4 linked regions of the Lonchura striata genome follow. The protein of the gene in region 4 binds, or shares a complex with, the protein of the main gene of each other region. Links are inferred from orthologs where the notes say so. Each region holds a gene or a part of one and is shown on either strand. Other genes may lie near its edges.

Region 1 (7,438 bases), on a different chromosome or scaffold from region 4:
ACCCCCTTTGTCATTTCCCTGTCCCGGGTGGGCTGGTCCCTGCTGGAGAGAGCAGAGGTGACTGGGACAGCCCTGGCTGGCTCCCTCGGGGCAGTGAGAGCTGTGCCCTGCTGCTGGACCCTATCCCAGATTGAAAGGCAAGACGTGCTCTATTGCCATCTCTATGGCATTGCCTTCTGTTCATTGGGCAGTTTTCCTTCTTTCTTCCACAACCAATCCTCTCTCAGGGGAGACATCTGCTGATAATGGGCTACTGAGTTAAAACATCCCATTGTGAGATGCTCCACCCAGAGGGAGGAGCCAAGCATTCCTACCTGGATATAATCTGTGTTTTTGGAACACCAACACAGGTTTTTCTAATAGATTCCCAAAAGGAACAGCTGGGGTTTTCCACTGGAGCTTCAGAGGAAGACTCCATCCTTCTACAGGATCCCTGCTCTGACAGAACCACCCCTGCCACTCCAGGGACTGCAGCCACTCCAATTTGGACTGCCACCAACACGCTGTCCAAAAGGGTGTCAGGTTGTGTTCTGACTCTGCCAGTGGTTTTCCTTTTGTGTTATTGCATGGATTTTGTTTCTTTTCCCTTTTCCTAATAACCTGTGTTTGTGACTTGGGAGTCTCTCAATGGTTTTGCTTTCTCACCTGCAGGCACAGCAGGAAGGGAGGGGGCCCACACTCAGCACACTTCACGTAGGGCTCCGTCAGGTACGAGGAGCAGCCTCGGCACGGGGGCTTATCAAAAGGGTCACCTGGGAAAACCACAGGAAATCTCCTGTCACACAAGCACAGCACTGCTTTGGCAGCCCCTAAATCCCCCTGTGCCCAGCCCCGGCTGCTGATGGTTCTTGTGGGCCCAGCTCAGGATGTTCTGTGATTCTATGGATTTTAAATGAACTCAGTTGTGCAACGAAATTAATATGACTGTCAGGTTATAATGGCTTCAAACTCAAAGAGAGCAGGGTTAGATTGGAGAACTGGGAAGAAACCCTTCCCTAGGAGGGTGGTGAGGATGCCCAGAGGAGCTGTGGCTGCCCCTGGATCCCTGGAAGTATCCAAGGCCAGGTTGGACAGGGCTTGAAGCACCCTGGGACAGTGGAAGGTGTCCCTGCCATGGCAGGGGTGGCACTGGGTGGGCTCTGAGGTTTCTTCCAACCCAAACCAGTCTGGGATTCCATGATTCTGACTTTTTCCAAGAAAATGGTTTTGAATCAGTTCAATTATAAGTAGAGAAAAATAAGGCAAAAGTCAGACCGAATAATTTTTGTGAGCACTACACCACGTCCCCAGAGTGCCACATTCGCTCAGTTTTTGGCCCCTTTCTGGGACAGTGACACCGAAATCCCACTGCTCCAAGGAATCCTTGTGCCGTGCAGGTTTTCCAGGAGCAGACGTGGGAGCTGGATTCTCTGAAGGCACTTACTGCTGAAGGAGGCCAGGCGCTCCATCCCTCCCCCGGCGCTGCCTGCTCCCTGGGTAAAACCCGGCTGGGAAACGCGCCAGGAGCGTCAGCCTTGTCCCACACCAAAGGGAATTATCCCAAAGGGAATTCTGCCTCTCCCACAGCCCTCGCGGCTCTGATCCTCCCAGGATGTCCTGAGCAGCAAGCAGAAGGGCTTCAGCAGCCGTCAGAGCCCACTCCACACGGATCAGAGTCCCTGCTCTGGCTGTGGGGGGAATCCGACAGGAGGTGTGGGGTGGTGGGGATGTCACCCCGAAGCGAGCAGAGTTATGAGCAGCTGCTGCGCAGGGAAGTGCTCTGCACCTCCCAGAGGCACTCCCCGCATCCCACTGCCCGTCCCAGTTCTGAGTCCCTCACATCCCAATCCCCATTCCCCATATCCCACTTCCCCATATTCCACTCCTCACATCCCAGTTCCTATTCTCATTCGCATTCCCAGTCCTCACTCGACCATATCCCAATTCCCACTCCCCCATATCCCCATCTCCATCCCCATATCCACATCCCTGTTCTCATCCCCATATCCCCATACCCATCCCATCTCCATATCCCCATATTCCCATCCCAATCCCATCCCCATTCCCATCCCCATTCCCAATCCCATCTCCATCCCAATCCCATTCCCATCCCCATATCTCCATATCCCCATTCCCGTTACCATCCCCGTTCCTACCCCCGTTCCCATCCCCATATCCCCATTCCCATCCCCATATCCCTATCCCAATATCCCCATTGCCATATTCCCGTTCCCATATTCCCATTCCCGTTCCCATCCCCATATCCCCATTCCCATTTCCATCCCCATATCCCCATCCCCATATCCCTATCCCCATATCCCCATTGCCATATTCCCGTTCCCATATTCCCATTCCCGTTCCCATCCCCATATCCCCATTCCCATTTCCATCCCCATCTCCCCATTCCCATCCCCATATCCCCATTGCCATATTCCCGTTCCCATATTCCCATTCCCGTTCCCATCCCCATATCCCCATTCCCATTTCCATCCCCATATCCCCATTCCCATCCCCATATCCCCATTGCCATATTCCCGTTCCCATATTCCCATTCCCGTTCCCATCCCCATATCCCCATTCCCATTTCCATCCCCATCTCCCCATTCCCATCCCCATATCCCTATCCCCATATCCCCATTGCCATATTCCCGTTCCCATATTCCCATTCCCGTTCCCATCCCCATATCCCCATTCCCATTCCCATCCCCATATCCCTATCCCAGTATTCCCATTCCCGCTCCCGTCCCCAATTCCTCTCCCGCCCCGCCTGTCCCTCTCCCCGTCACCGCCAGGCGGCGCCCCCGCCCGGCCCCGCCCCCTCCGGCCCCGCCGCGGCCCGCGCGCTCCCGGCGCCCCCCCCGCTGCCCGAGCCCCGCTCTGCGCGCTGCCCCCGGCCCGGCCCGGCCCGGTCCCGGTCCCGGTGCGGCCCGCTGGGGGCGGCGCGGGGAGCCGGGGGTGGTGGGGGGGGGGAGCCGGGGCTCGCCTCTCACCTCGCTCGGCGCGCCGGGTCGGGCCCGCGCGCGCGCGCGCGCTCCCGGGCCCGCCGTGCGCACGCGCCGGGGCGGGGCGCGCGCCCCCTGGCGGGACCGGCGCGCGCCGCAGGGGCCGCGCCGCCCCGAGCGGGGCGAGGGGGACCGGGAGCGAACCGGGCCGGGACCGGCACCGGCACCGGCACCGGCACCGGCACCGGCACCGGCACCGGCACCGGCACCGGCACCGGCACCGGCACCGGCACCGGGGCTGGGCAGGAACCGGGCTCGCACGGCCGGTGCCGCTGCCGCCCGGGGTCCCGCGGGGAACAGCCCCGGACCCCTCTGACCGCCCATCACCGGAGCCCCGCTCCTTCCCGGGGCGGCTCGGTCACCGGAGCCCCGCTCCTTCCCGCAGCCTCCCCGGCTCCTGGCGCTGCCCGGCCCTCGGGGTGGCGAAGGGCGGATTTCCACGGGGAAAGGGCTCCCGTGGCACTGCCGTGTGAAGCAGCTACGGGAGGAACTGGTCCTGCGGGGGATTAGAGCTGGATGTAACGGGGAATCCCGGAGTGGTGTGCGTGGGGAGGAACTTCAGCATCACCCAGTGCCACCCCTGCCATGGCAGGGACGGATTCCGCTGCCCTTGGACACTGCCAGGGATGTGCAGCCTGTGCCAGGGTCTCCCCACATCTCCTTCCCGATATTCCATCTAACCCTGGCCTCTGGCAGCCTGAAGCCATTCCTCCTCGTCCATCCATGCTCCTTGTCTGAACTATTTACCAACAAGATTAAAAATGCTGGCAGTTATTCCCTTTTTCTTTTGCCCAGGCACGTGCAAAAAATGGGAAAAAAAATTGAGGATTTGGGAGAGGCAAATGTACGGAATGTCAATTAAATGTTTATTGCTTCTGCTAACAGGTTTTTCCTGCATCTGGGAATTAGGACTCTGGGTGGTTAATGGAAGGAATCAGCATGTGGGAATCTGGTTCCTGCTGTTCCCAGGAAAGGTGATGCATCTGCAAGGTAAGAATGCTGTCCTGAATCCTGCAGCTTTCCGTGGACTTCAGATATTTCAGTGTTGAGGGTTTTCCTGTTATGCCCCTGGCATGGGAGTGAAAAAATATTTATGAGGAACATTGAAAATCCGTGGAGTCTTACAGGATTTTCAGGCCAATGTTTTAGTGACACGGTGTCTCCAAAACCACAGCCTCCTGATGGCTCCTGGAGGGAGCAGTGACAGGAAAAATCTTTTTTTCTGGAGCCTGCTCCAGTGGTTTCCAGCTCAGCAGAGCCCTGAAGGTGCCCCCAGCCCATGGCTGCTCCATGGCACGTGTGAAACGGCTCCAAAGGGTCTCAGCTCAGCTCCCAAAACTGCACTCCAGGAAGATCCAAGGGGATATTCTGGAATGAACTAAGTGCTCACACGCTGCTACTCAGAGGTTTTAGCAAATGAAGCAATTTTCATTTGCTGTTTGAGATTATTTGCTGGTAATTTCTGCTCGCCTGCAGCCCAGTGCGGGAGTGCAGGCTGAGCCCCAGGTGAAACAGTGGTTTTGGGGCAGAAATCAGTGGGAGCATTTTCAGGCCTCTCCCTGCCCTTGGTGGGATTTCTGGGCGCTGTTGGGTGGAGTTTTTTTGTGGCGTCGGCGTTTTCTGCCTCGGACACACGGTGGCGATGGGAATCGCCTTTTCCTCCGGAGCTTGGGGCTTGCTCGGTCACCACACGTGCTGTGTGCCCCCGGGAATGGAAGGATGAACCATTTCTGTTCAATCCCAAATAACCGCTGACATTTCCCAGCGGCCGAGGCTCCAGAGAACCCACAACGCTTTCTCAAAAGCGCTGATGTTACTTAAATGAAAATGTTTATGTTGAAAACAAGAGCCAATGGAGCCTCGAGGGCTGGTGTTTTGCTTTAAAAAGTGATCTGACCTTTCTCTCCGTTCCTTGGCTGCCAGGACACGAGTGGTGCCAGGCTGGCAGTGTCACCGACCCCCTCACCCGGGATGATCTGTCCTGTGTTTGCACTGGGGGTGTCATCAGAGAATGGTCAGGAGAGGTGGAACCAGCACTTGGCGTCACGAGAGGTAAAAACATTTCCCCTGTGTGTTTTGGAGTTTATTTACTAAGGCTAAGCTTCCTGTTTTTGAGAGAACGCAGTGGCACGAGTTCACAGTGCACATGCTTGGGAGTCATGGAATGAGAGTAAATAACCGTGTCCAGCTTTGGAGAGGGACAAGAAAAGGATGTCAGGTGCATTTACCAGCCCCCCTCCAAAGCAGAACGTGGGTATGATTCAAACATTTAAAAGACAACAACTGGAAAGTTGTTTGAACCCTGTGAAACAATTAAAACGCAGATTATTCCTGCCCAGACTTGAATCCCAGGATCGTTATGTTGGAACAGACCTCCCAGATCATTGAGTCCAACCTGGCTTCTCACCCAGCCCAGAGTAGTTTAATTTCATGGAATCTCCTCAGTTGGAAGGGACCCACAAGGATCAGCCTCACTTTCCTCCAGCTGATCATTCCACGTGCCCCCAGCCTCTCCTCACATGCCTTCCCCTCCAGACCCTTCGCCATCTCCATAGCCCAAAAATGCTCCTTCCAAATCCGTGCTGGACTTTTGGGGTGAATGTCTTTAACTTGCTCTTTTCCACGTGTTCATGCCTCTCTTTGCCCTTGAATGGAGGAGGTGCTGCAGGATTTCAGTGTGTGAAGCAATCCCTCCCCCAGCAGTGTTTGGACAGTGTTTGCAGCTGGATGGATGCGCTGGGCTGGGCAGGCAGAGTGCAGGTGCAGGTTTTAGCAGGCCTGGAGCTCTGGGAACAGCAGCCAGGATGAACTCAGCAGCTGTTGTAACCTCCTGGTTTGGTAAGTTCTGTGTGTAGTTATTATCAGTGGTTTGGGACCAGCCCCTCAGCAAGCCAATCACTCCCCCTCACTTCTGCAGCAGCTGGGATTTAGCACTGGAGACCATTAATTAACACCCAAAACCTTCTCTTCAGCTCCTTCCTGAAGCACTCAGAGGAGGGTTGTTTGTGTGAAATACACATCTATATCTATGTATTTATCTCTACAGCAGTATAAATAAAAGTGTTCCTGCCCAAAGTTTCCAGATTTGGTCCAAGTGGATGTGAGAATATGGTCTGTTCCCCCAATAATTTTATTAACTACAAGCCCCCAAATTGGCTTTTCTGGGTATTTCTTGCCTGCAGTGGGCACCCATGCCACCAGGTGCAGTTTCCTGCAGTCTCACACCTTCTAACCACCGCCTTGGTGGAAATTCTCTGTATTTGGGAACAGTGGATCCTTGGGGTCCCTGCAGGATCAGCCTGCACAGGTCACCACATCGAGCACTTAAACTTGTGTTACCCGTTCCATTTGTACTTCAGCAGCCCTGTAACAGCTCGGAGCTCAAATAAAACACAAAAACGTGGAAAAAGGCTAGCGGGGTAGTTCTTTAACCCATTGTCCGTCGGCAGAAGGAGCAGCTGAAGGTCAGAGAGGAGCAGGAGGGGCAGTGGCAGTGCCAGCCCTGCTTGGCCGTGCCCTCAGCACCTGTTATCAGCCTGTGCTCCCTGGCAGTGCCCGGGGACAGGCCGGTGTCCCCGCGGGCAGCGCGGGCAGCGCACGGCACGGGCCTGCTGGATCTGCAGCAGGGCACTCCTCTCCTGCCTGCTCTCTGCTCCCGTGCCCTGCCACCTGCGCAGCAGAGCCCTGCCTCGTGTTCAGGTGTGCGGCGGGTCCTGCCTGATTGCTCTTGTGCTGTTGGTGCCACCGAGAAGAGCCCGGTGCAGCTTGGCCCCCCACCACAGACACCGATGGGCGCCGGGGGGCCCCTTGGGGCACCTCGCCTCCAGGCTCAGCAGGCACAGCCCCCTCGGAGGGTTTCCCTCCCAGCAGCGATGCTCTGGTCCTGGGGGTCCTGGGATTCCCGGCTGGCCCGGGGGTCCCGGCTGTCCCAGGGGTCTTGGCTGTCCCGGGGTCGCGGGGATCCCGGCTGCCCCGGCTGTTCCGGGGCTCGCGGGGGTCTCAGCTGTTCCGGGGGTCCAGGCTGTCCCGGGGGTCTCGGGTGTCCCGGCTGTCCCGGGGGTTCCGAGGTCCCGGGGGTCCTGGCTGCCCCGGCTGTCCCGGGGGTCCCGGGTGTTCCGGCGGTCCCGGGGTCGCGGGGGTCCCGGGGATCCCGGGTGTCCCGGGGATCCCGGGGGTCCCGGGGATCCCGGCTGTCCCGGGGGTCCAGGCTGTCCCGGGGGTCCCGGCTGTCCCGGGTGTCCCGGCGGTCCCGGGGTCCCGGGGATCCCGGCTGCCCCGGCTGTCCCGGGGGTCCCGGGGGTCCCGGGGATCCCGGCGGTCCCGGGGGTCCCGGGGATCCCGGCTGTCCCGGGGGTCCCGGGGATCCCGGCTGCCCCGGCTGTCCCGGGTGTCCCGGGTGTCCCGGGGGTCCCGGGGATCCCGGGTGTCCCGGGTGTCCCGGGGATCCCGGCGGTCCC
Region 2 (7,844 bases), on a different chromosome or scaffold from region 4:
ACCCAGAGAATTTTTTTTAACTGTAAAACCTGCTTCACAAACCTATCAGAGTCCTCCAAATCTATCAGCAAGCAAGTAGAACAGAGATCTCTACTCTAGAGTCCAGGTCCTCCCTGGGGGATCTGTGCCAGAATCAACATATTTTTTATCATGCATTTTTAACATATTTATAAATAGTCTGGAAAACTGTAGGAAAGGAACAGTGCAGTAATTATAAAACCATTGTTAGTACAGACTTTGGAGAATTGATAAGACCAAACCAACTCAAAAATAGCCATAAATTAAACTCTGCCTCTTCCTCATCATACAAGGAGGTAGGGTTTATATATGGGGCTGAGGAAAACCAAATCAGGAGATAACAAAATAAAAGACAAGGGGACAGTGTGTCAAAGAATGAAAATGAGTAACAGGGAAACAGAAAAGGTCAGGCCTACATTAACCAAACCTGTGTTCTGATTCAGGCTGGCAACTCTTATCTTCCTTTCTTCCTGTATCTAAATGTACCTATGCACTACTTCTCAGACCCAGGATACTGACCAAAAAAACAGACTTAAAATATGGATTTATCAAAACACTGTAATTCTGACAACTGTACTTCAGAAGGCAGCACAGAATTAAGCACTAGCATGTTTTATTAGGGGGAAGAATGTTCTTGCTTTGATTTGATTTTACACACTCAGAAGCATCAGCAAATCATAGAACTTCATTTTTGCTACTATATAGCACTTATAAAACAGCTGCTATTCTTAATTCACATGTCTCAAAACAGTAGGAAGAAACATGCAACAACTCAAAGCCTTCCCCCTGGAAAAGCATATATATGTTTGGGTTAGCAAGCACACAATCAAATTCTAGAATACACTGCAGCTCATTATAAATGCACTCTGTCAGCCACAAAACATTTCATTTCAAAACTCTCCAGTCTCCACAACGTAGTCCTTACACTCCCCCATGTGGCTGACCACTAAATAACATTTCTTTACTCAGACCCCAAAAACTCAGAAGAAATAACAAAAAGACAAAGAAGCCCCTAAAAGATGGCCAGAGCCATAGAAAAAAATTTCAAGCTGAAGCCACTGAGGAGGACAGAAGAGAACACTTCTCAGTTCTACAAACCACAGGACCACAGTGCAGGAGTCAGAGGCTCTGATTACTCTCACAAAACCCTATTTCCCTTCAGTGTCTGCTCTCTGCTAATTACGTTGTATCTTCTGATAAGGATGATAGTGTTCCTCCAGAAACAGCAATAAAGAATCATTCCATTGTTCCGAGAGACACTGTTACCAAATGCAACATCTTTCAATAAAATGCATTTCATACAACCTCAGGCCACTAAAGATTTCAGTGGCACTAAAGTGATAAACTACATTCTATTGATGCATATTTACCATTTTAAAAACTAGCATGTGTTATCCTTTCCCTCAAAATGTTAATTAGTGGACACAGTAGCAAGGATTAATCCCTTAATTTAAATGCACATAACCTACAAAGTACTGTCAGATATTGCAAGAAATGCAACAGCTCCTTGTGAACTTAGTGCCTGTAGAGGGATAGACAGGCAGTGGTGGCAATATTCTTTAATCAAAGGCTGGCAGCAGAGGTAGAAGCAGTGCAAATTTTCTTTACACTTTCTCCAGCTGGTGGAGCCAGTAGCAGAGACAAGAATTCCCTTCACTTGTGTGCATTTCCAGCTCTGACTCGAGGACCACCAAACCGGTGGAATATGACAGTCACTGTGTCACAGGTCCTTGACCACCGAAATCTGACAAATACATTATCAAATCATCTTTTCAGAACCTACAGCTCAACAGCCTAAACCTAGGCATGTGTTTTCTGGATTTGCAACTATAGTAACACAACTTTAGTTGTAAGTGATCTGGACAGAAGAGACTTCACATCCTGTAACTGAAACTGTTGAAATACCACTAACAAAACCATGCATACACATTTAGCATAGCACTAACAAGACAGAAATCAGCACCACACCTCTACATTTTACAGAGAGAAGCAAAAGCAAGCAATATACATGTTATTCACATAGAAAAAAATCTATGTATTACCTTTCTAAAGCCTGTTTTATACTTTACGTACAACAGCTTGACCCTTTAGCCTAAGGGAATGAACATAGCTACATAGATATTTTAGAACACTCAGCTTTCTTTCGGCCAAGAACTAACCTAAAGAAACACCAACACACCTGTAGAAATCACTCTCTGGGTCACTGTGCCTCAGCTGAAATGGCATTTTGGGGGTTTTGCTATCCAGAGGAAGCAGGTCATCAGGGAGAGGTGGGGAGGCAGGACAAGATGGCAGAGGCTCATTCTCTTCGGTTTTTATGCCCTCTGCTTGCTGCTGGTTCTGAGCCTGAGCCGCGGCGATGAGGCTGCGCAGCCGCCGGTTGTGCTGGATGAGCTGGATGGTGTGGATGGTGAGGCTGCAGGGCTCGGAGGGGATGTCCAGCATGGTGGTGGGCCGGGGCTTGTTCGCGGACGGCTGGTGCAGCGGCGGATCCTGCACTTCCACAGTCCGAAACTCGCGCTGCAGCAGGTCAAAGGAGCTGCGGTTGGCCTGGCTGGAGGAAACCGGGATCTCACCCCAGTACCGCAACATTTTTACGCATAGGTCGCGCTCAGAACCCAGAGTACTGCGGGTACAAAGGAGGCTTGTTGCGGGGAAAAGCACTTCGGGCAGCAGCAGACACAGGAGCCGGGACGCCGCTCCAGCCGCCTCAAGTTACGGCTGCCGAGCCGCTGTGGCTCAGAGCCGCGCCGAGCAGCGCAGTGTCCTCGGCAGCCCCGGGTCGCCGCTCCGGCAGCTTATAGATCGCACCGCGGCTTTTCCTGGGGGGAGAAGGGGCACAAACAAACGCGATCGTGAAGCCGTTTCTGCGTGTAACAAGGGCTGCTGTGGACCCACCCGGGCCGCGCTGAGCGGGGGCCGCCCTCGCCCCTCGCCCTCTTTCCCCCCCAGGCCCGCGGCTGCCCGCCCCCGCCTACCCTGCGGTGCGCTCCCTGCCGGAAGTGCGTCCCGGTCCGCCAGCACCGCGGCTCCCCCGCCACCCGCGCTCCTCCAGCCCGGAGGAGGGAAGCGCCCGCCGCCGCTGCCTCCGCTGCCGCCGCCTCCGCCTCGCCCGCCGCCCTCCCTGACTCGCCCCCCTCGCTGCCCCGGGCCGCGCTGGGCGGCGGCGGAGCGGCCCCGGGAGCTGCGCGCTGCCCCCGGCGCTGCCGCGCTCGTTCCCGGCGGACTCCGTTTGGCGACGGACCGGGGAAGATGGCGGAGGAGGCAGAGGCGGCAATGGCAGCGGAGGCCGAGCCCGCCGCCTTCAAGCGCCCGAGCCGCCCGCTGCCCGCCGCCCCCGGGCCCGGCGACCCGGGGCCCGGCCCGCCCGGAGCGCCCCGCGCCGCCGCGCCGCCCGCGCCGCGCTACGAGGAGCCGCCGTGGGGCAGCCGGCCGCCCGCCGCCTCCGGGTACGGGCTGGAGGTGCTGAAGGGCGGCGTGGCGCTGGGCTCGGTGCGGCTGGACGACAGCAGCTGGTTCCTGGTGGGGCGGCTGCCCGGCTGCGCCGTGTCCCTGGAGCACCCGTCGGTGTCGCGGCACCACGCCGTGCTGCAGTACCGCGGCGCCGGCTGCTCCCCCGGCGGCGCCGATGCCGCCGGGTTCTACGTGTACGACCTGGGCAGCACCCACGGCACCTTCCTCAACAAGGCGCGGGTGCCGCCCCGCACCTACTGCCGGGTGCGGGTGGGCCACGGGCTGCGCTTCGGCGGCAGCTCCCGCCTCTTCCTCCTGCAGGTGCGTCGGGGCTCGGGCGGCTCCGGAGCGTGTGCGGGGTGGTACAGGCTGGCCCGGGTCAGGCTCGGGAGTTTTCCCGGCTCCATGAGGTGTGAGGCCGTTTGGAAGCAGCCCAGCGCTGCCGTGGTTGTTTGACCGGGAGAAAAGCTGTGGCTGTCTGCTGCCGGCCCTGCAGTGAGGTGTGGGGCTGCAGTGATGTGCTGTGTGTGCAAAAGTGTGATCTCCAAAGTGTGATGTATTAGGAATGTCTTTCTGACAGTATGATGCCACAATAAATAAAGAACTAATATCTCTTTGTGAAAAAGGGGAGTGTTTGTTAGGAGGGACTTGGGCAGCACATTGTGTGTTGTACACGCGCTTGAGAACCTGCTTGTTCCTCAGATTCACCCGTGTAGTTCTGACGTGAATTTTTGCCTTTAGCCTTTTAATTACAGTTATATGTGAGATGGATCTGACTGCAAGTACACTACAATGTTTATTTCTCCATGCCTTTCTTTTGAAAATGCCATTAAAGCTAATACATTTTGGAATGCAAACCATTTATAGTCAAATAAGTCCACTTTTTGAAGAGCGGTGTAATGATGTTCCTATTATATGTAATAATGTGTTATTATATGTAACCCTGCATGTGTGCTGGAAATACTTGTTGGGTTTTTTTTAAAAACACTTTTGCTAATTTTCTGTTTTGACTTAGGGACCCAAAGAGGACCAGGAGTCTGAGTCAGAGCTAACTGTGACTGAACTGAAGGCACTACGCAAGCAGCAACAAGCAAAATTAGAAAAGACAATGTTGGGAGAGGACTCTGATGAGGAAGATGAGAAAGAGGAGAGAAATGAAAGGAGTCAGAATAGTGATATGAGCTGCTCATGGGGCATGGGTAAGTGAGGATGTATTGATTGACTGATATGTATTAGAAGGTCTGTAAGTGCATTTTCACTGAATACTAGGGTTAATATTCCAACTGGCTACCAAGAGTCACAATCCAGTCAAAGTTTTTGAGTACAAATTAATCTTTCTGCTGCTAAAACGAAGGGTATGTGACAAGCTAACATATAGTGAGCTCCTTTTAAACAGCAGGAGGTAATTTGCCTATACCTATTAAAAGCCATGAAACTTAGAGCTTAATTAATGCTCTTTGGGTTGCCTCTGTGATGATGTCCACACTTTTGCCCAAGAGGTGAAATTTTGCTGCTTGAGACTTCTATGCAGTATAGCTGTCTTTGCATTTAAACAGCAAGTCCACGTATTAGAGGCTAGATAAATTATAATTAATGAGCTTTTTGCAAGTTAATTGGGCTTTTTTGAGTTAAAACGTATAAGGTTATAAACCTTTGAAAGTAGTGAGACTGACATTGATTTGCAAAACTGAATAGTATATTGGAATAACTAATAGCAAATTTTTTTTTTATTGGGTGTAGGAATAATACATTTAAGGGAAGTAATTTTATGATGTAGCTGCTACTTCTTTCAAACTAATGAAAGTTGAAATATGGTGGTGTTCTCTTTCTCATGTTTCATGGGTTTTTTTTTTTGGAATTTTGATGTCTTCTAGGTGAGGATGCTGAGGAGGATGAGGTTGAAGAAAACCCTATTGCTGTTGATTTTCAGGATGTTCAAGATGCCTTTTATATGAAAGACCCTAGGAAGGCCTTACAGGGCTTTTTTGATAGAGAAGGTAGTTTTTTTTTCTTTTTTTTATTAAATGTGATTTTTTTTTTTAACTCAGCCTAGTGTTACTTTGTTGTTTATGTTTCAGGGGGATATAAAGTGTCATGTGGGAGCAAAACTTTCTGTTACACTGTGGGTTACATTGTTTTGGTGGGGATTTGTAGTGGTTTGTTTTGGGTTTTTTTCATTAAAACTCAGCTCACCGTTGTACATCTGAGTCTTAGTTACTAATTCCTAAACTGCAGTGAGTAGTTTATATTCTGGAATATTCTTCAGCTTGTATCCTCTGGAGTGACACTCAAACTTCACCCATGCTTTGAAGCTACGTGGAAAAATTTAAGAAAGATAAAAGGCAATAATTAAGTGGTCTAAAGTTTCAGTGGTTGCTAGTGAAACTTAAAGAATATTCACTTACTTGTTGAAGTGAAAAAGCAACCTTGAAGACAAACAGTATCTGTGAATTCAGATTGCAATCTGTTGTTGCTTCAGCATCATATACTTTCACGCATACAGAGACAAGATTGGTTTTTCTTTGAATTGCATGTTCCTAAACAGGCCACTTAAAGATTTTCTGGTCTGAAAAAGCCTTGATTTTAGGAAAAAACCCAAATCAGCATAAGTAAAGCAAAATCATGGTATGCAGCAAGAGCTTGTTAATCCTTTTGTTTTGAAGAATGTCCCTGCTGTAAAGGTTATTCCTGCTTATTTCAATTTTGGTTACCACATCAATTTTATTTTCTTTTCTAGGAGAAGAGTTAGAATATGAGTATGATGATCGTGGGCACAACAGCTGGCTGTGCAGGATCAAGTATGTACATCTCCATTCCTTTGGTACATGGAAGGTGACTGTTGAATTTGCAAACAAAACTGAAGGAATTAATTGTTGTGTCACACTTGGCAAGGAAGCCAGTTAAATTTAGATTTAAGCCCTGATACTGAGACAGAGGTTCAAGGATCAGTGCCTAGTTCAGTGTCTATGATCCTTTTTTGTTCTTACAATATTTGGTTTTCCTAGGGGATGAAAATTGGGAAAGCAAGGATCTAGGTTCTTTCAGCTCCCCAGTATGTAAAATAGGAATACAAGAGAAGAAACTAGGAAACAATCTCTTTCAATTCCTAATGAGAAAGATCCAAAAAAACCCCAAACTTAATTCTACTGTTTGTCCAATTTCAGTTCCTGTATGGTATAAGACAATTTTTGAGGGGTTCCTGCTAGAGGCCACTAATGTAATTCATTTATAAGACAGGAGAAGGTGAGGTGGAAATTAAGTCAACAAGTCTCAACATAGTAATGATTGTACTGCTTAAAAAATCCTTTGCTTTGTCATGGAAATTATTTGTTACCCACATTGTATGAATACAAGATACCAGTACTTAAAATGATTCAGGGATTGACATTTAACCTTCTAACTTTCTGTATTTCTAATGGAATAAATAGAGGAAAAATTACTGTTTGGACCAGTGAAATACAAATTGACTTACATGACTAGGAAATCATGCTTGTCTTTTGATTGGTTCTGTATGAAATAAAAAGTGGAAAAATTTGACGCACAAAAAGATTAAAATGAAATGGCAATGCCATTGTAAAATATCTGAGTAGCATCTCTGAAAAGCTGTTTGTATCTGAGCTGTTCTCTGATCCTTCAAACTGATCAGGTTGCCTGTGGATGATGCATCAGGGAAGCAGCTAGTGGCAGAAGTTCTCCATTCAGGAAAAAAGAAGGAAGCGATGATACAATGTGCACTGGAAGCTTGCAGGCTGCTTGATGCTCGAGGAGTACTGAGGCAAGAAGCAGGTGAATAACTCTGATCATTCTAAATGCCCTAAATTAGGCATTTGAGATTGCGATCTCGAATTTGCTTTATTGCTGAGTGATATGCAAATCATTTTGTTTCTTGCCTTCTCCTGTGCCTTTCTCAGTATCCCGAAAAAGGAAATCAAAGAACTGGGAAGATGAGGACTTTTATGACAGTGATGATGACACCTTCCTCGATCGAACTGGTGCTGTGGAAAAGAAACGACTGAATAGAATGAAGAAAGCTGGTAAAATAGAAGAAAAACCAGAGACATATGACTCCCTGGTAAGAACAATTGTTATGACATGTCAGGGTTACTCTCTCATGTCTGTATTATATTATATTATGACTAAGAAGAAATCTTAGTGGGTTATGGCAGTGGATGAAGGAAATGCCAAAACAGGATAGTTTTAAATAACTGGAAAATAATTCCAGGCTTTTAAGTCCACAGGACACATCCTAAAGAAATATCTCATTCTCCTTCAAAGAATAAGAATCTTGGATTGACAGGCATATGACAACAATAAATCCTGCAAAGACAGTAGGTTGTGAGGGATAACAGGTGCTGGAGGGTTCAGTGGTGGTA
Region 3 (7,949 bases), on a different chromosome or scaffold from region 4:
GAGGGAAAAATGGATTGTGAGGGAAAAGGAGGAATTGGACGAAAAAGGAGGGAACTGTGAGGAAAAAGTGGGAAACTGCCGAAAAAATGGGAATTTGAAGGGGAAAAATGGAATTTGAAGGGGAAAAAAATGGAATTTGAGGGGATAAAATAGGAATTTGAAGGGATAAAATGGAATTTGAAGAAAAAATGGGAATTTGAAGGATAAAGTGGGAATGTGAGGAATTTGAGATTTTTGGGTTTAAAAATGAGAATTTTGGACTCACTTGCACTCGGCTTCGGCATCAGCCTTGGCTGTGGTGTAGAGCCCTCGGAGCTTGGTGCGGTAATAGGGGGAAACTAAATGAATTTGGGGTCAAAATGTGCTGAAAAGCCCCAAAATTCCCCCAAAATTCCCTTTAAATCTGGGAAATTTTTTACTTTTGTTCTCTGTCTGCATCCGCTCGTGCGTCTTCTGGATGTTCACCAGGTTGTGCTCGCTGCGGGAGCGCTCCTCCTGAGGGGGAAAATTGGGGATTTGGGGAAAATTGGGGAAATTAGGGAAAAAGGGGGGGAAAGAGGGGAAAATCAGGAAAAAAAGGGGGAAATTATGAAAAAAGGAGGAAAAAGGGGGGAAATTAGGAAAAAAGGGGGAAATGAAGAAAAAAGGAGGGAAAAGGGGAAATTAGGAAAAAAAGGGGGAAGTGAAGAAAAAAGGAGGGAAAAGGGGGGAAATTAGGGAAAAAGGGGCAAATGAAGAAAAAAGGGTAAAATTAGGAAAAAATTGAGGGAAAAAGAAAAAGGAGGGGAAAAAAGGGGGGAAATTAGGAAAAAAGTGGGGAATTAAGGAAAATGAGAAGAAAGGGGGGGAAATAGGGAAAAAAGGGGGAAATGAGGAGAAAATGGGGAAAATTAGGAGAAAAAGGGGAAATGAAGAAAAAAGGGGGAAATGAAGAAAAAGGAGGGAAAGGGAAATTAAAAAAAATGAGGGAAGGGGAAAATAAGGAAAAAAGGGAAATTAAAGAAAAAAGGAGGAGAAATGGGGGAATGAAAAAGGGGGAAAATGAAGAAAAATGAGGAGAAAGGGGGGAATGAGAGAAAAAAGGAGGGGAAGGGAGGAAAATTAGAAAAAATAGGGGGAAATTAAGAAAAGAAGGAAGAGGTAAAATTAGGGAAAAAGGGGGAAATTAAAGAAAAAGGAGAGAAAAAGGGGGCAAATTAGAAAAAAGGGGAAAATGAAGAAAAAAGAAGGGGAAAAAAGGGGAAAATGAGAAAAAAGCGGGAAATGAAGAAAAAAAGGTGAAAGGTGCAAAAAAAAAGTTGATTTTGAGGTGAAATGGGTGATTTTTAGGATCCGTGAGTAGAAAGAAAAATTGAATTTGGGGTGAAATGGGTGATTTTGGGGTTCATGAGGGGGAATAATTTATTTTGGGGTGAAATAGACAATTTTTGGGGTGAAATTGGTAATTTTTGAGATTCCAGAGGGGAAAAAAGGTGATTTTGGGTGAAATGGGTGATTTTGGGCATCTGTGAGGAGAAATAAAATTGATTTTGGGGTGAAATTAGTGATTTTTGGGATACCTGAGGGGAAAAAATATATTTTGGGATGAAATTGGTGATTTTGGGGTGAAATGGGCGATTTTGGGAATCCCTGAGTGGAGAAAAATTTAATTTTGGGGTGAAATGGTGATTTTTGGGATCTGTGAGGGGGAAGAAAGTTAATTTTGGAGAGAAATGGGTGATTTTGGGGTGAAATGGGTGATTTTTGTGGTGAAATGGGTGTTTTTGGGGTGAAATGACTGATTTTTGGGGTCTTTGAGAGGGAAAAAAGTTGCTTTTAGGGTGAAATGGGCGATTTTTAGGGTGAAATTGGTGATTTGGGGGGTCTGTGAGGAGAAATAAAATTGATTTTGGGGTAAGTTTGATAATTTTGGGGTGAAATGGATTTTTGGGGTTTGTGAAGGGGAAAATAGTTGGTTTTGGGGTAAAATGGGTGATTTTGGGGTGAAATTGGTGATTTTTGGGATTCCTGAGGGGGGAAAAGTTGATTTTGGGAGAAATGGCTGATTTTTGGATTTCTGAGGAGAAAAAAGTGATTTTGGGTGAAATTGGTGATTTTGGGGTGAAATTGGTGATTTTGGGGTGAAATTGGTGATTTTTGGTATCACCGAGTGTAAAAAAAGCTGATTTTGGGGTGATATTGTTGATTTTGGGGTGAATTTGGTGATTTTGAGGTTTGTGAGGGGGAAAATTTTGATTTTGGGGTGAAAATGTGTGGTTTTGGGGGTGAAATGGGTTAATTTGGGGATCCCTGAGGGGAAAAAAGTCAATTTTGGGAGGAAATGGATGATTTTTGTAATCAGTGAGGGGAAAATATGTTATTTTGGGGTGAAATGGGTGACTTTTGGGACCCCTGAGGGGGGAAAAGTTTATTTTGGGGAGAAATGTGTGATTTTGGGGATCTCTGAGGGGAAAAAACTGATTTTGGGGTTCAATGGGTCATTTTTGGGGTTCGTGAGGGAAAAAAAGTTTATTTTGGGATGAAATTGGTGATTTTGGGGCAAAACGGGTAATTTTGGGGGTAAAATAGGTGATTTTTGGGGTGAAATGGGTGATTTTTGAGATCCCTGAGGGAAAAGTAAGTTGATTTTGGGATGAAATTGGTGATTTTGGTGGGAAATGGGTCATTTTTGTGGTAAAATTGGTGATCTTTGGGGTGAAATAGATGATTTTTGGGATCCCCGAGGGGGAAAAAAAATGGATTTTGGGGTGGAATTGTTGATTTTGGGCTCCTGAGCGGAAAGATTTCGAAAACACCGAAACCCTTGAGGATCCCTCGGGGCCAAACGGGACCCGGGGCTGCAAAACGGGGAAACTCCGAGGGGGGAAAAAAACCCCAAAAATCCTAAAAAAAAAACTAAATAAATCGAGGTACCTGCGTCTGTTTGATGAGCTGGTGCAGCTCCCCCAGCAGCTCCGCGATGCGCGAATCGGCCGAGACGAGCGCCATGAGGGGAAAAACAGGGATTGGGGGGGGGGGGGCAGAAAATGGCGGCGGGGGGAGAAAATGGCGGCGCCTCCTCAGGGGAGAAGCGGGAGGGGGGCGTAAGCCACGCCCACTTCGAACCATATATGGGCAAAACCACGCCCAGGCTCGGGGGAGCTGGTAAAGCCACGCCCACTTCGAACCATATATGGTCAAAACCACGCCCCCTTCCCTTATATGGCGCAAACCCGCGCCTAAACTCAGGGCAGCAAAGAGGAGGAAAGGGGACACAAGCCACGCCCACTTCGCGCCATATATACTCAAAACCACGCCCCTTTTACCCTTATATGGTGCAAAGCCGCGGCTGCGTGGCATTATTATTTATAATTCTTAAGCCACACGCATTTCGCGCCATATATGGTCAAAACCAGGCCCCTTTTACCCTTACATGGTGCAAAGCCGCGCCTGCGTGGCATTATTATTTATAATTCTTAAGCCACGCGCATTTCGCGCCATATATGGTGAAAACCACGCCCTTTTAACCATATATGGCGCAAATCAGCGCGTGTGTGGCATTATTATTTATGAGCTCTTAAGCCACGCCCACAATAGTGGTTTTTTATGAATGAACTCAATGCAAAGCCACGCCCTACGCTCATTAATATGGATTTTTCTGTCTCAAAGCCACGCCCACCAGCTCCCAATGGGGATTCAGTTTGGGAAAATCACGTGATGGCGGTGTCACATGACCGGCGTGCAACATGGCGGATGAGGAACCGCTGCTGCAGGAAGGTGAGAGGGGAAAAAATCTGGGTTAAAAATGAGGTTAAAAATCGGGATTTCGGGATAAAAACCTAAAATTAAAACGGGGATAAAGGGACAGGAATGGAGGCGGGAAATGGAACCGGGAGTGGGGAGCGGGATGGGAAAAAACAACCCCAAAAGTTCCTAAAACAACCCCAAAATCTCCCAAAATTGCCCCAAAATCCCTTTTGGAAACTTTTCTCTTCCCCTCCCCCTCCCAGATGAAGACTCCGCCCCGGCCCCCGCCCCCTCCGACCTCCTCCTGGCGAATCGGAGCCGCTTTTTGGTGAGTGCCCCGCCCCCACCAGAAGCCACGCCCCCTAAGCCCCTCCCACATCTCTAAACCCCTAAAATTTCCCGCCAAAACTTAACACATTTTGGAGACACCCCCACCCATTTAAGCCCCGCCCATTTTGGACCAAACCCACTTTGGGTGGCCACGCCCATTTAAGCCCCTCCCACATCTTAAAAACCCCACAGTTCCCGCCAAAATTGAGCCATTTTGGGGCACCCCACCCATTTAGGCCACACCCACTTGGACCACACCCTGGTGTAGCCACACCCCTTTAAGCCCCTCCCGCATTTGAGAAATTCCCGCCAAAACTGAGCCATTTTTGGGACACTCCACCCATTTAAGCCACGCCCCACTTTGACCACACCCCTTTAAGCCCCTCCCGCATTTGAGAAATTCCCGCCAAAATTGAGCCTTTTTTTAGGAACCCCACCCATTTAAGCCCCGCCCACTTGGACCACACCCCTTTAAGCCCCTCCTGTATTTGAGAAATTCCCGCCAAAATTGAGCAATTTTTGGGACACTCCACCCATTTAAGCCCCGCCCATCTGGACCACACCCTGGTGTGGCCACACCCCTTTAAGCCCCTCCCCCATTTGATAAATTCCCGCCAAAAATTGAGCCATTTTTGGGACACTCCACCCATTTAAGCCCCGCCCATCTGGACCACACCCTGGTGTGACCACACCCCTTTAAGCCCCTCCCCCATTTGATAAATTCCTGCCAAAATTGAGCCATTTTTGGGACACTCCACCCATTTAAGCCCCCGCCCACTGGGACCACACCCTGGTTGGCCACACCCTTTTAGCCCCTCCCCATTTGAGAAATTCCCGCCAAAATTGAGCCATTTTTGGGGCACCCCACCCATTTAAGCCCCGCCCACTGGGACCACACCCTGATGTGGCCACACCCCTTTTAGCCCCTCCATTATTTGAGAAATTCCCGCCAAAATTGAGCCTTTTTTTAGGAACCCCACCCATTTAAGCCCCGCCCACTTGGACCACACCCTGTCGTGACCCCACCCCTTTAAGCCCCTCCCTATTTGATAAATTCCCGCCAAAATTGAGCCATTTTTGGGACACTCCACCTATTTAAGCCACGCCCACTTGGACCACACCCTCATGTGGCCGCACCCCTTTAAGCCCCTCCCCTATTTGAGAAATTCCCGCCAAAATTGAGCCATTTTTGGGGCACCCCACCCATTTAAGCCACGCCCACTCGGACCACACCCTCATGTGGCCACACCTCTTTTAGCCCCTCCCCCGTTTAAAAAATTCCCGCCAAATTTGAGCCATTTTTGGGGGCACCCCACCCATTTAAGCCCCGCCCATTTTGACCCCCCACACCTGTGACCACGCCCACCTCAATGACCACGCCCCCAGCCTCACCCCCAAAATTTCCCGCAAAAACTGAGCCCACTTAAGCCCCGCCCCCTTTGACCACACCCATTCACCCCCCAAATTTTCCCGCCAAACCTGCCCCGTTTTAGCCCCTCCCCTTCCACCATAACCACGCCTTTTCCCGGCAAACCACGCCCACCCGTGGCCACGCCCCCCGCGTGGCCACGCCCCTTTAAGCCCCGCCCACCGCAGGATTTTGGGGCTGTGCAACAACCTCCCGTACGTGGTGATGCTCAGCGCCGCCCGCGACCTGCTGGAGCCACGCCCTGTGAGTGGCCACGCCCCCTTTTGGGGGACCACGCCCCCTTTTTGGGTGGCCACGCCCCTTTTCTGACTGGAATTTTTTGGGATTTTTCCCGGGGTTTTTTAGGGGGAGGAGCCACGGAATCGGAGCCGGCACGACTGCGACCCTGTGGGGACCGGGGTGGGTGGGGCTTAAGGGGGCGGGGCTTAAGGGATGGTAATTTAAGGGGCGGGGCTTAAATGGGCGTGGTTTAAATAATGGGGATTAAATAGGAGGGGATTGAAGGGGCGGGGCTTAAATGGGCGTGGTTTAAATAATGGGGATTAAATAGGAGGGGATTGAAGGGGCGGGGCTTAAATGGGCGTGGTTAAAATAATGGGGATTAAATAGGCAGGGCTTGAAGGGGCGGGGCTTAAATGGGTTGGGATTAAATAATGGGAATTAAATAGGAGGGACTTGATGGGTGGAGCTTAAATGGGTGGGGCTTAAATGGGCGGGGCTTAAGGAGTGGAATTTAAAGGGGCGGGGCTTAAATGGGCGTGGTTTAAATAATGGGAATTAAATAGGAGGGACTTAAAGGGGCGGGGCTTAAATGGGTTGGGATTAAATAATGGGAATTAAATAGGAGGGACTTGATGGGTGGGACTTAAATGGGCGTGGCTTAAATGGGAGGAGCTTTAAGGGGTGGGACTTAAATGGGCGTGGCTTAAGGAGTGGAATTTAAAGGGGCGGGGCTTAAATGGGCGTGGTTTAAATAATGGGGATTAAATAGGAGGGGCTTAAAGGGTCGGGGTTTAAATGGGTGGGGCTTAAATAATGGGAATTAAATAGGAGGGACTTGATGGGTGGAGCTTAAATGGGTGGGGCTTAAATGGGCGGGGCTTAAGGAGTGGAATTTAAAGGGGCGGGGCTTAAATGGGTGGGGTTTAATGAATGGGAATTAAATAGGAGGGGATTGAAGGGGCGGGGCTTAAATGGGTGGGGTTTAATTAATGGGATTTAAATAGGAGGGGATTGAAGGGGCGGGGCTTAAATGGGTGGGGTTTAAATAATGGGAATTAAATAGGAGGGGCTTAAAGGGGCGGGGCTTAAAGGGGGAAAACATAAAGGGGTGTGGCTTAAGTGGGAGGACCTTAAAGGGGTGGGGCTTAAATGGCAAAGGCTTTAAGGGGTGGAGGTTTAAGTGGGAGGGGCTTAAATGGGTGTGTCTTAAATGGGAGGGGCTTAAAGGGGTGGAGTTTAAAGGGGCGTGGCTTAAATGAGCATGGCTTAAATGGGAGGAGCTTGAAGGGGTGGGACTTAAATGGGCGGGGCTTAAATGGGCGGGGCTTAAAGTGACAGGGATCGAAAGGGGTGGGGCTTAAGTGGGAGGAGCTTAAGGAGGTGTGGATTAAGTGGGCGTGGCTTAAATTATTGGAAATTAAGGGGGTGGGGCTTAACAAGGGTGGATTAAGGGGGTGGGACTTAGATGGGTGGGGCCTAAGTGGGAGGGGCTTAAAATATCGTGAACTGAGTGGGCGGGGCTTAAATAGGTGGGGTTTGGGTGTGGCTAAAAGGGGCGGGGCTTTGGAGAGCCGGATTGTGATTGGGCGGGGTTTAAAGTGGGCGTGGCTTAAGTGGGCGTGGCCTGGCCCCGCCCCTCAGGCCGTCCTATTGGCCGACGTCGTTCCCGCCCTGGTGGTGAAGCTGCTGCTGCCCCTGGTGGGGCCGTACCTGCCCGACAGGTGAGAAAGGGGCGGGGCTTAAAGGGGCGAGTCTTAAAGGGGCGTGGCCTAAAGGGGCGGGGCCTAAAGGGGCGTGTCCTAAAGGGGCGGGGCTTAAAGGGGGCGGGGCTTAAAGGGGCGGTGCCTAAAGGGGCGGGGCTTAAAGAGGCGGGGCCTAAAGGGGCGGGGCTTAAAGGGGGCGGGGCTTAAATGGGGCGGGGCTAAAGCAGGGAGGGGATTTTGGGGGGAAAATGGAGATTTTGGGGAGGGGAAATGAGAAAGGGGAATTTTTTGGGGGGTAAAAGGGGATTTGGGGTGAAAAAAGTGAGTTTTTATGGGGAAAAAAATGTGAGTTTTAGAGGGAAATGGAATTTTTGTGGGGAAAAAATTGAAAATTTTAGAGAGGAAAGGGAATTTTTATGGGGAAAAAATGCGAATTTTAGAGAGGAAAGGGAATTTTTATGGGGAAAAATGCGAATTTTAGAGGGGAAAGGGAATTTTTATTGGGAAAAATTGCAGATTTTAGAGAAAAAAAGGAATTT
Region 4 (6,995 bases):
AAGCTTCTTGCTGAAGAGAGGAGTGGTGGGCACAGCAACGGTGCTGACTGCAGCTGCAACAGACCCACGGTGCCCATGACCGCTGGAAAATGCCTCATCACGCCACGGCAGCCCAGGACTGCCACTGCTCTGCCACACCTTCACCCTTTATCTCTCAACCCTCCAAACAGAGGGAGCTGCTTCCTGAAATACCTGGGCGAGACACCAGCTGGGCACCCTCCGCAGCTGGCACTGTGAAATCAGCCTCCCAGATTGGAGAGTTCTCACCGTAGATCTCCTCCTCCAGCATGGAAAGGAACCTGGAAGGAAGTGGCACATCAGCATGCAAGTCCCCTCAGTGCTCCAGCAGCCATCTCCACACTGAGCACCTACTTGGGGAAGTGCGTGAGGATCAGTGTCCGCTTCTCCGGCACCAGCTTGTCCTTCTCCACCCGGAACTTCTCCAGCAGCTGCCGGCGGGTCACCGTGAAGATGGACTTGAGGAGGCTGCGCCCGAAGACGTGGGTGGTCTCATAGCGGGGCAGGCTGTCACAGCTCTGTGGCACATGGCAGTAGCACAGCCACCTGTGGGACAGGAAAGGGCTCTGGAGACAGGGCTGGAACCAGGGAGCCCACAGTGACCATATCCCTGCTGGGACAGTGCTGCTGGGAGCAGGCTGGACGAAGGGCACGGGTGGCATTTAGAAGCATTGGCCCTACTGTGTTACAGTAAGCTCATGGGCACTCTGTGCCCCCTTCCCCGGGACCCTGTGACTCTGATCAAGATAACCCCAGACCCCTCCTTCCTGCCCCAACGGGGTTGGCAGAGAGCCAGGGAAGCCCACCCTGTCCAAAGCCTGGATAAACCCCTGACATCTCCTGTTCGTTCTTTTTTGCCCCGCTCTCCCCATGAGCATCACAGAATAAAGAGAGCTGAACCAACGTATATTGGGGTAAGAGCCTCTTTTGGAAATCTTTGTCATCTCCTAATATTCCTCCCCACACAGCCTCGGACCTCTGGGCTAGTCTGATATTCAGGGGGCTGTGTGAGGGGGGGAACGTCACCACTGGGTGCCTGCTGTCCTAGTGGACTTACAGTCTGGGAGACACCCTGGGAGTTAGACCCCAGGGTGGCTGGCTCCATGGCCCCCTGCCCTCACCTGGTGTAGTTGACCTTGTAGGTGGCCACATCGTCATTCTGGGAGCGCTGACGGAACTGGGACGGTGTCTCCAGCTTCCAGTAGTTGAGGCACAGCAGGAACATCTTGGAGAGCTCATACATGGTCTGGCGCTCCTTGGGCGGCAAGTGGCTGAACTTGTACTGCACAAAATTCAGGACTCCCTGGGGAGAGGATGGCACAGTGGGGAGGTGCCAGGGGCTGCTCTGGGGCCTTGCCAGAGTGAGGGGACCGTGCAAGAGCAGCAGAACACAGGACAAGTCAGTGCACCAGCCTGACAGCAGCCTCACCTGCTCAATGTTTGGTTTCTCAAAGGGAGGGCTCCCCAGGGACCCCTCGACCACAGGCTGGCTCATCTGCAGGATGCACTTCCGCAGCAGCTACAAAGACACCAACAGACACGGTCAAAAGAGTCCCAGGAACCAGATGCTCCAGGAATGCTGGAGGTGAATGAATGCCACCATGGGGCTGCTCCAATTTCCAGAGCCAGGAAGGCACCGGTGCTGCCCTTGGAGCATACCCATTCATCCCCCAGAACTGCCCCCCTGGGGAATCCAAGGCCAGGAGAGCAGTCACTCCAGAAAAGGGTCAGCGTTCCAGGTCTCTGGGCTGTGGGATGGTTCACAGCCCCAGCTTCAGTGCCAGCTCCAACAGAGCACAAGCAGTGGGACAGCAGCCCCAACAATGACCAGAAACTCTGCACAAGTGCCCCCACGAGCGGGGCAGTGAGACATGCACACCCCCAGACGCACCTTGAACAGGTAGAAATACACCTGCTTGGTGTCCGTGTCCTCCTCCTTGTGCACCGACATGAAGAGGTTCTCCACATCCACCACCATGCCCAGCAGACGGTTGATCTCCTCCTCTGAGACGTTCTCCAGGTGAGACACATGGTCCGCTGTGCCGGAGAGAAAGCCACGGTGAGACCAAGGGATCAGCGCCGTGCCCGGCGTGCCCGGGAGGTGCCAGGGGAGTTACCCAGCGCGTGGCCACAGCTCCGGCACGGCTCACTCAGGTTGGTCACCGGCTGCTGCAGGTCCATTCGAGGGGCTGTGGGGGGGTTGGGGTTCTTCCAGCCATTGCACTTGCAGGCGTCGTTGGCCTGGGAAGAGGGACGGCAGCGGTCACTGCTGTGGCCCACGCGCCACCACACGCCGAGGCTGCCACCTTCTGTGGCCAAAGGATTTCCCTGGCTCCCTCCTACCTGTTTTCTCAGCCCCCACCACCCCAACACTCCCCCGTGCACCCCAGGACTCTGCAGCCCCTGCCCAGTGACATCCCTGCACCTCCCTTGGGTAACTCAGCACTCTCTTCCTGCAGCCCCTGCCTGCACACAGCCCAGCACCCCGTCCTGCACCCCGTGTACATCCCAATCCCGCATCCTTTGTCCATATATTCCTTGCACTCACCCTCCTGCATCCCTAAATTCCTCTCCTACACCCATAAGCGTGCTTGCATCCCGCACTCAGGTCAGCATCCTCGTCCTTCATCCCGCACCCATGCACAGCACTGACCCCCCACTCCTGTATCCCCTGCATCCCTCCTGCAACCCCACCCGTGCCCGTCCTCGCATCCCGCCGTCATGCACAGCCTGGAACCCCACCTCCCGCCCTCCCGCCCTCCCGGTGCCGCTGTCCCCCACCTTGCACGCCGAGAACACCCCCAGCTTCTCCAGCTTCTTCCCGCGGGGGAACCCCCGCACCTGCGCCTTGCGCTGGCTCGCCCGCTGCTGCTGGCTCAGCCCGGGCCGCGCCGGGTCGCTGGATCCCGTTCCTCCAGCCGCCACCCCGCTCGCCCCCGCCGTCCCCGCCGCTGCCGTCCCGGGGCCCGGCGGGGGCCGCCCGGGCTGCGCGGCCTCCGGCTCCGCCATGCCGGGCCCGGCGTGCGCCCCGCGCGCAGCGCGCCTGCGCGCCGGGAGCGCGGGGAACGCCGGGAACTGTAGTCCGCGGCGGCGGGGGAGGCGCGGCCGCTGCTCCCGGCACGGCGCTCCCGGGGCCGCCTCACGTCACCCGCTCTGCCAACGGGAGCAGAGCTCCCGCTCGGGACCGCGCGTGGCGTGAACCGTCCGGAGAGCATCGAGGTCCGGTCATGACGGCACACCGCGACAGCCTCTCACGGGGCGACGCCGAGCCGCCGGTGCCCGGAGGAGCCGTCCCACCCCTCCGGTAACCGGTACCGCTCCGCGCTCCGCTGACTCCCGCAAATATGGAGCACGGCCACGCCCTCTTCTCCAAATGCGGTGTGTGACCCGCCCTCCGCCTTCTCGCGGGCGGCACGGGGTGCGGCCAAGCCAAGCGGCCGGCGCGGAGCGTGGCCGCGCCTCCCGGCCGGTACCGGAGCGCCGGCTCCGCCCGCACGGCCAGTGCTGAGAGGCCGCGCCCGCCGGCGGCGCGGGGGAAGCGGATTAGCGCCGCTGCTGCGCGGAGCGGCGGGCGGCGCCCGGAAGGTGCCAGCGCTGGCGGGGTGGTGCGGCACGGGGGACGCGGGCACCGCGCGGGAGGGTTCCAGCAGCATCCCAAAGATGGGCGGCAATTGTCCGAAAGCTACCCGGGGGATGCTCGGGACCTGCCGGGGATTCTCAGCGCTGCACACGGTCCGGAGCCCCTCGCCCGACCTCCTCTGCCAGGGCAGAGCTGCGGAGAGATGCCGGGACATTGCCGGTGCCAGCACAGCCCCGTTTCCCACCCTGCCATCGCGCTGCGTGGGCACAGGCAGGAGAGTTGCAAAGCACAGGGCTGGGCAAGACCAGAAACACCAAAAACACACAAATAAAAGTTAGGAATATTTATTACATATCAAAAAAGCCGCATGTTTTGGGCAGACACCACCCCCCCGGGCCATCACACAGTCCCGCTCTGCGGCCAGCAGCTGCCCCCGTAGCCAGGCTCAGCCTGGTCCCTGTTGCTCCTCTTCACGCCTTGGCCCGCTCGGCTCCCTCCTCAGTGCTGCCAGCTGCCTGTGCCACCGCCGGCCCCATCTGGATGGGCACGTTCCTCTCAGGAGCAGCCGGCAGCGCCAGCTTGGGGGCCTCGATGCGGAGCTGTCCTTCCTTGGACAGGGAGCAGGTCAGCGCCTCGGCATCCACCTCCTCGGGCACGTCCCACTCCCGCTTCAGCACCTCGTACTTGTAGGAGAAGGAGCCCTTCTCGTCTGTGCTCTGCGTCTCCTTCTGCCCCACCAGCACCACCTTCCTGCCCACCACCTTCACCGACAGCTGCTCGGGGGCAAAGTCCTTCACGTCCTGGCAGACAGAGAAGCCGTCCGCAGAGCCCTGGGTCAGGGCTGCGCTGGTGCTGGCCGCACGCTCCGAGGCGATGCCGAGCCGGCCGGGGCTGCTCCCGCTGCTCAGGTACTGCTCCACGCTGCTCATGAACTCCCGAGCTCTCTCCATCTCCAGCCGCATCTCCCGCTCCAGCTCGGCGAAGAGGGTGCCTGGATGTGGCCAGAGGGTGCGGACGGGTCCCAGCCACGGGAACAGCGAGCTGGACATGGGCGGCATAAAGTGCAGGCGGCAAAGCATCTCTGCTCCGAGGGGCGCTCCTGGCTGTGCTGCAGCTCTGCTCGGTGCAATGGCTGGAGCCGTGCTGGGCTGGGGCAGGGGAGCAGCGGATTTTATTCTCCCCTGCCCAGGGGTGTGTCCCTTCCAGAACGCTCTCTCCCCACGCAGCGTCCTGGAGCCATCGCCTATTTTTGAGAGGCTGATTATCCACCAGCCAAAATAGCAGCGCCTGTTTCTGGGGACAGGTCACATACCACAAATAGGGAGCCGCAGTCACTGCTGGGAGCTCAGGTTTCTGCAGAGCCATCGTGATGCAGCAGGGCCCGTGGGGCCATGGCCGGGGGGCTACAGAGCCCCTCCCTGGACCCCCACCGGGGGTTCAGAGGAGGCAGGATCCATTGTGCCAGGAGCTCATCACTTCTGCCAGTACAGGAATTAGTCCCACCCCTGAAGTACATGCCCTGGGTCATCTACTGACTGGCACTTCTTTCACTTTCTGGGACCCCTCTCCCTCTCGGCCACCCCCATCCTGTCCTGACCCCTCAGCACCTCACTGTGCACCCCACTGGCCACGGACTGACTTCTGGTGTCACCTGAGGGGACCCCCCTGGGCACAGACGGGGAGAAATGGAACACAGCAGAGGGTGGGGGGAGGCAGAGAGGAGATGAGCCCAGACTCACTCCATGCCTGGGAAAAGCAAAGGGCACAGATTTTTGGCAAGGGTGGCTCAGGCATCCCGCTCGGAGGCTGAGGTGATGCTGCTAATTATAAGCCAGGAGAGCAGAGCTGTAAGAGTCAGGGCGAAGGTATGCCGGGCACGACGTCAGCGGTGCCACTCCTCACGGGTGAGTAACAAGAATGAGCTGGAACGGGCTGGAAAGAGCTGAGCTCTTCTCCCGAGGGTGATGTAATGTGCGGGACAAAGCCACGCCTCCAGGGAACGGCTATAAAAGCCTCGGACGGCAGCAGCGAGGCAGAACGCTTCCAGCCCATTGGAAACGGGACAGAAGCAGCAGCAGCAGCAGCAGCAGCAGCAGCAGCAGCAGCAGCAGCAGCAGCAGCGATGCTTTGCCGGATGCACCTCGCACCATTCGCCTCCAGCTCCCTGGCCAGCCGGCTGGGCACAGTGAGGACCCTCTGGCCACACGCAGAGACCATCTTCACCGAGCTGCAGCAGGAGATGGAGAAAGCTCGGGAGTTCATGAGCAGCTTCGAGCAGCTCCTGAGCAACCACGGAGCCATCGCCGCGGAGCACACCCCGAGCACCAGCATGACCCTGACCCACAGCTCTGGGGACGGCTTCTCTGTCTGCCAGGACGTGAAGAACTTCGCTCCCGAGGAGCTGTCGGTGAAGGTGGTGGGCAGGAAGGTGGTGCTGGTGGGGCAGAAGGAGACTCAGAATGTTGATGAGAAGGGCTCCTTCTCCTACAAGTACGAGGTGCTGAAGCGGGAGTGGGACGTGCCCGAGGAGGTGGATGCCGAGGCGCTGACCTGCTCCCTGTCCAAGGAAGGACAGCTCCGCATCGAGGCCCCCAAGCTGGCGCTGCCGGCCGCTCCCGAGAGGAGCGTGCCCATCCAGGTCAGCCCCGCCGCCCCACAGACCGGAGCAGCTTCTGAGGAGGGAGCCACCAACAAAGCCCAGGTGTGAGAGGATGGGACCCCATGGCCACGGCAGGACCGGAGCAGACAGGAGCAAGTCTCGGGTTTAAGCCCAGACAAGCTTCATCAGCAATGATGTCATTTTTTTCACTAAACTGGAATGTTTTTGTATCCAATAAAAATCCTTTTGCATTGAATCTTCTTGTGTTCTCTGGGTGTTGATGGGCAGGCTGCGCCCTGCTCTTGGTGCCAGAGGAATGGGATGCACAGAAAGGGAAAAACTTCTTGCTTTTCAGGGCAGCACAAAATGGGGTCAGACAGCAGACCCAGAGGGTTCTGTGGGCACTTTGCTGCTAAGGGGGGCAGGCAGGCAGAAAGGGCAGTCCCATTCCCCTGTACAGGAGCAGCTGGGGTGCCCTCACCCCTTTCTCACAATGCTGCCAGCGTCATCTCCAGCTCCACAGCCAATACCCATCCTCACACAATAGAGAAGGAACCACAACAAGCTGCCTGGCAGGGTGTGGTGTGAGGTGGTTGTATCACACTTTCCCCTTCCCAGCTTGGCAAGGGGCTGCTGGAGTCATCCCTGAGCTCCCAGCAGCAGGAGGGAGAAGCTCAAGCCCGGGTGCGGTGCATAAGCAGCACAAACACCCGCGCTCAGGCCCGGGCAGGCAGCAGCTGTGTGGGCAGGCAGCAGGTATGCAGGCAGGAACGCCTGTTTGTGCTAAAGCCACCCTGA

The links. The genes of interacting proteins can lie anywhere in the genome.
Region 1: KAT2A (region 4) and TADA2A share a complex: the UniProt entries of both Homo sapiens proteins name them as parts of the ADA2A-containing complex. The link is inferred for Lonchura striata from reciprocal best matches to the Homo sapiens genes KAT2A and TADA2A.
Region 2: KAT2A (region 4) and SUPT7L share a complex: the UniProt entries of both Homo sapiens proteins name them as parts of the STAGA transcription coactivator-HAT complex. The link is inferred for Lonchura striata from reciprocal best matches to the Homo sapiens genes KAT2A and SUPT7L.
Region 3: KAT2A (region 4) and SGF29 share a complex: the UniProt entries of both Homo sapiens proteins name them as parts of the ADA2A-containing complex. The link is inferred for Lonchura striata from reciprocal best matches to the Homo sapiens genes KAT2A and SGF29.

Annotation. Positions count from the first base shown.
Region 1 is NC_134622.1:10,485,191-10,492,628, reverse strand, and holds the start of TADA2A (transcriptional adapter 2-alpha), read right to left. Parts: upstream 3,026-7,438; 5' UTR 2,970-3,025; intron 1,668-2,969; 5' UTR 1,449-1,667; coding exon 1,424-1,448; intron 753-1,423; coding exon 646-752; intron 1-645. UniProt on the Homo sapiens protein: Component of the ATAC complex, a complex with histone acetyltransferase activity on histones H3 and H4. Required for the function of some acidic activation domains, which activate transcription from a distant site. Binds double-stranded DNA.
Region 2 is NC_134605.1:6,407,873-6,415,716, forward strand, and holds the start of SUPT7L (STAGA complex 65 subunit gamma), read right to left. Parts: upstream 3,026-7,844; 5' UTR 2,997-3,025; intron 2,963-2,996; exon of another isoform or gene 2,841-2,962; 5' UTR 2,611-2,840; coding exon 2,198-2,610; intron 1-2,197. Other genes in the region: SLC4A1AP (kanadaptin), read left to right, coding at 3,271-3,792, 4,487-4,670, 5,346-5,468, 6,209-6,269, 7,118-7,257, 7,383-7,543.
Region 3 is NC_134637.1:737,896-745,844, reverse strand, and holds the start of SGF29 (SAGA-associated factor 29), read right to left. Parts: upstream 3,026-7,949; 5' UTR 2,989-3,025; coding exon 2,914-2,988; intron 496-2,913; coding exon 420-495; intron 339-419; coding exon 266-338; intron 1-265. UniProt on the Homo sapiens protein: Chromatin reader component of some histone acetyltransferase (HAT) SAGA-type complexes like the TFTC-HAT, ATAC or STAGA complexes.
Region 4 is NC_134627.1:6,426,578-6,433,572, reverse strand, and holds the start of KAT2A (histone acetyltransferase KAT2A), read right to left. Parts: upstream 3,028-6,995; coding exon 2,800-3,027; intron 2,260-2,799; coding exon 2,136-2,259; intron 2,056-2,135; coding exon 1,910-2,055; intron 1,538-1,909; coding exon 1,448-1,537; intron 1,322-1,447; coding exon 1,140-1,321; intron 565-1,139; coding exon 373-564; intron 300-372; coding exon 193-299; intron 54-192; coding exon 1-53. Other genes in the region: heat shock protein 30C-like, read right to left, coding at 4,069-4,677; HSPB9 (heat shock protein beta-9), read left to right, coding at 5,721-6,305. UniProt on the Homo sapiens protein: Protein lysine acyltransferase that can act as a acetyltransferase, glutaryltransferase, succinyltransferase or malonyltransferase, depending on the context.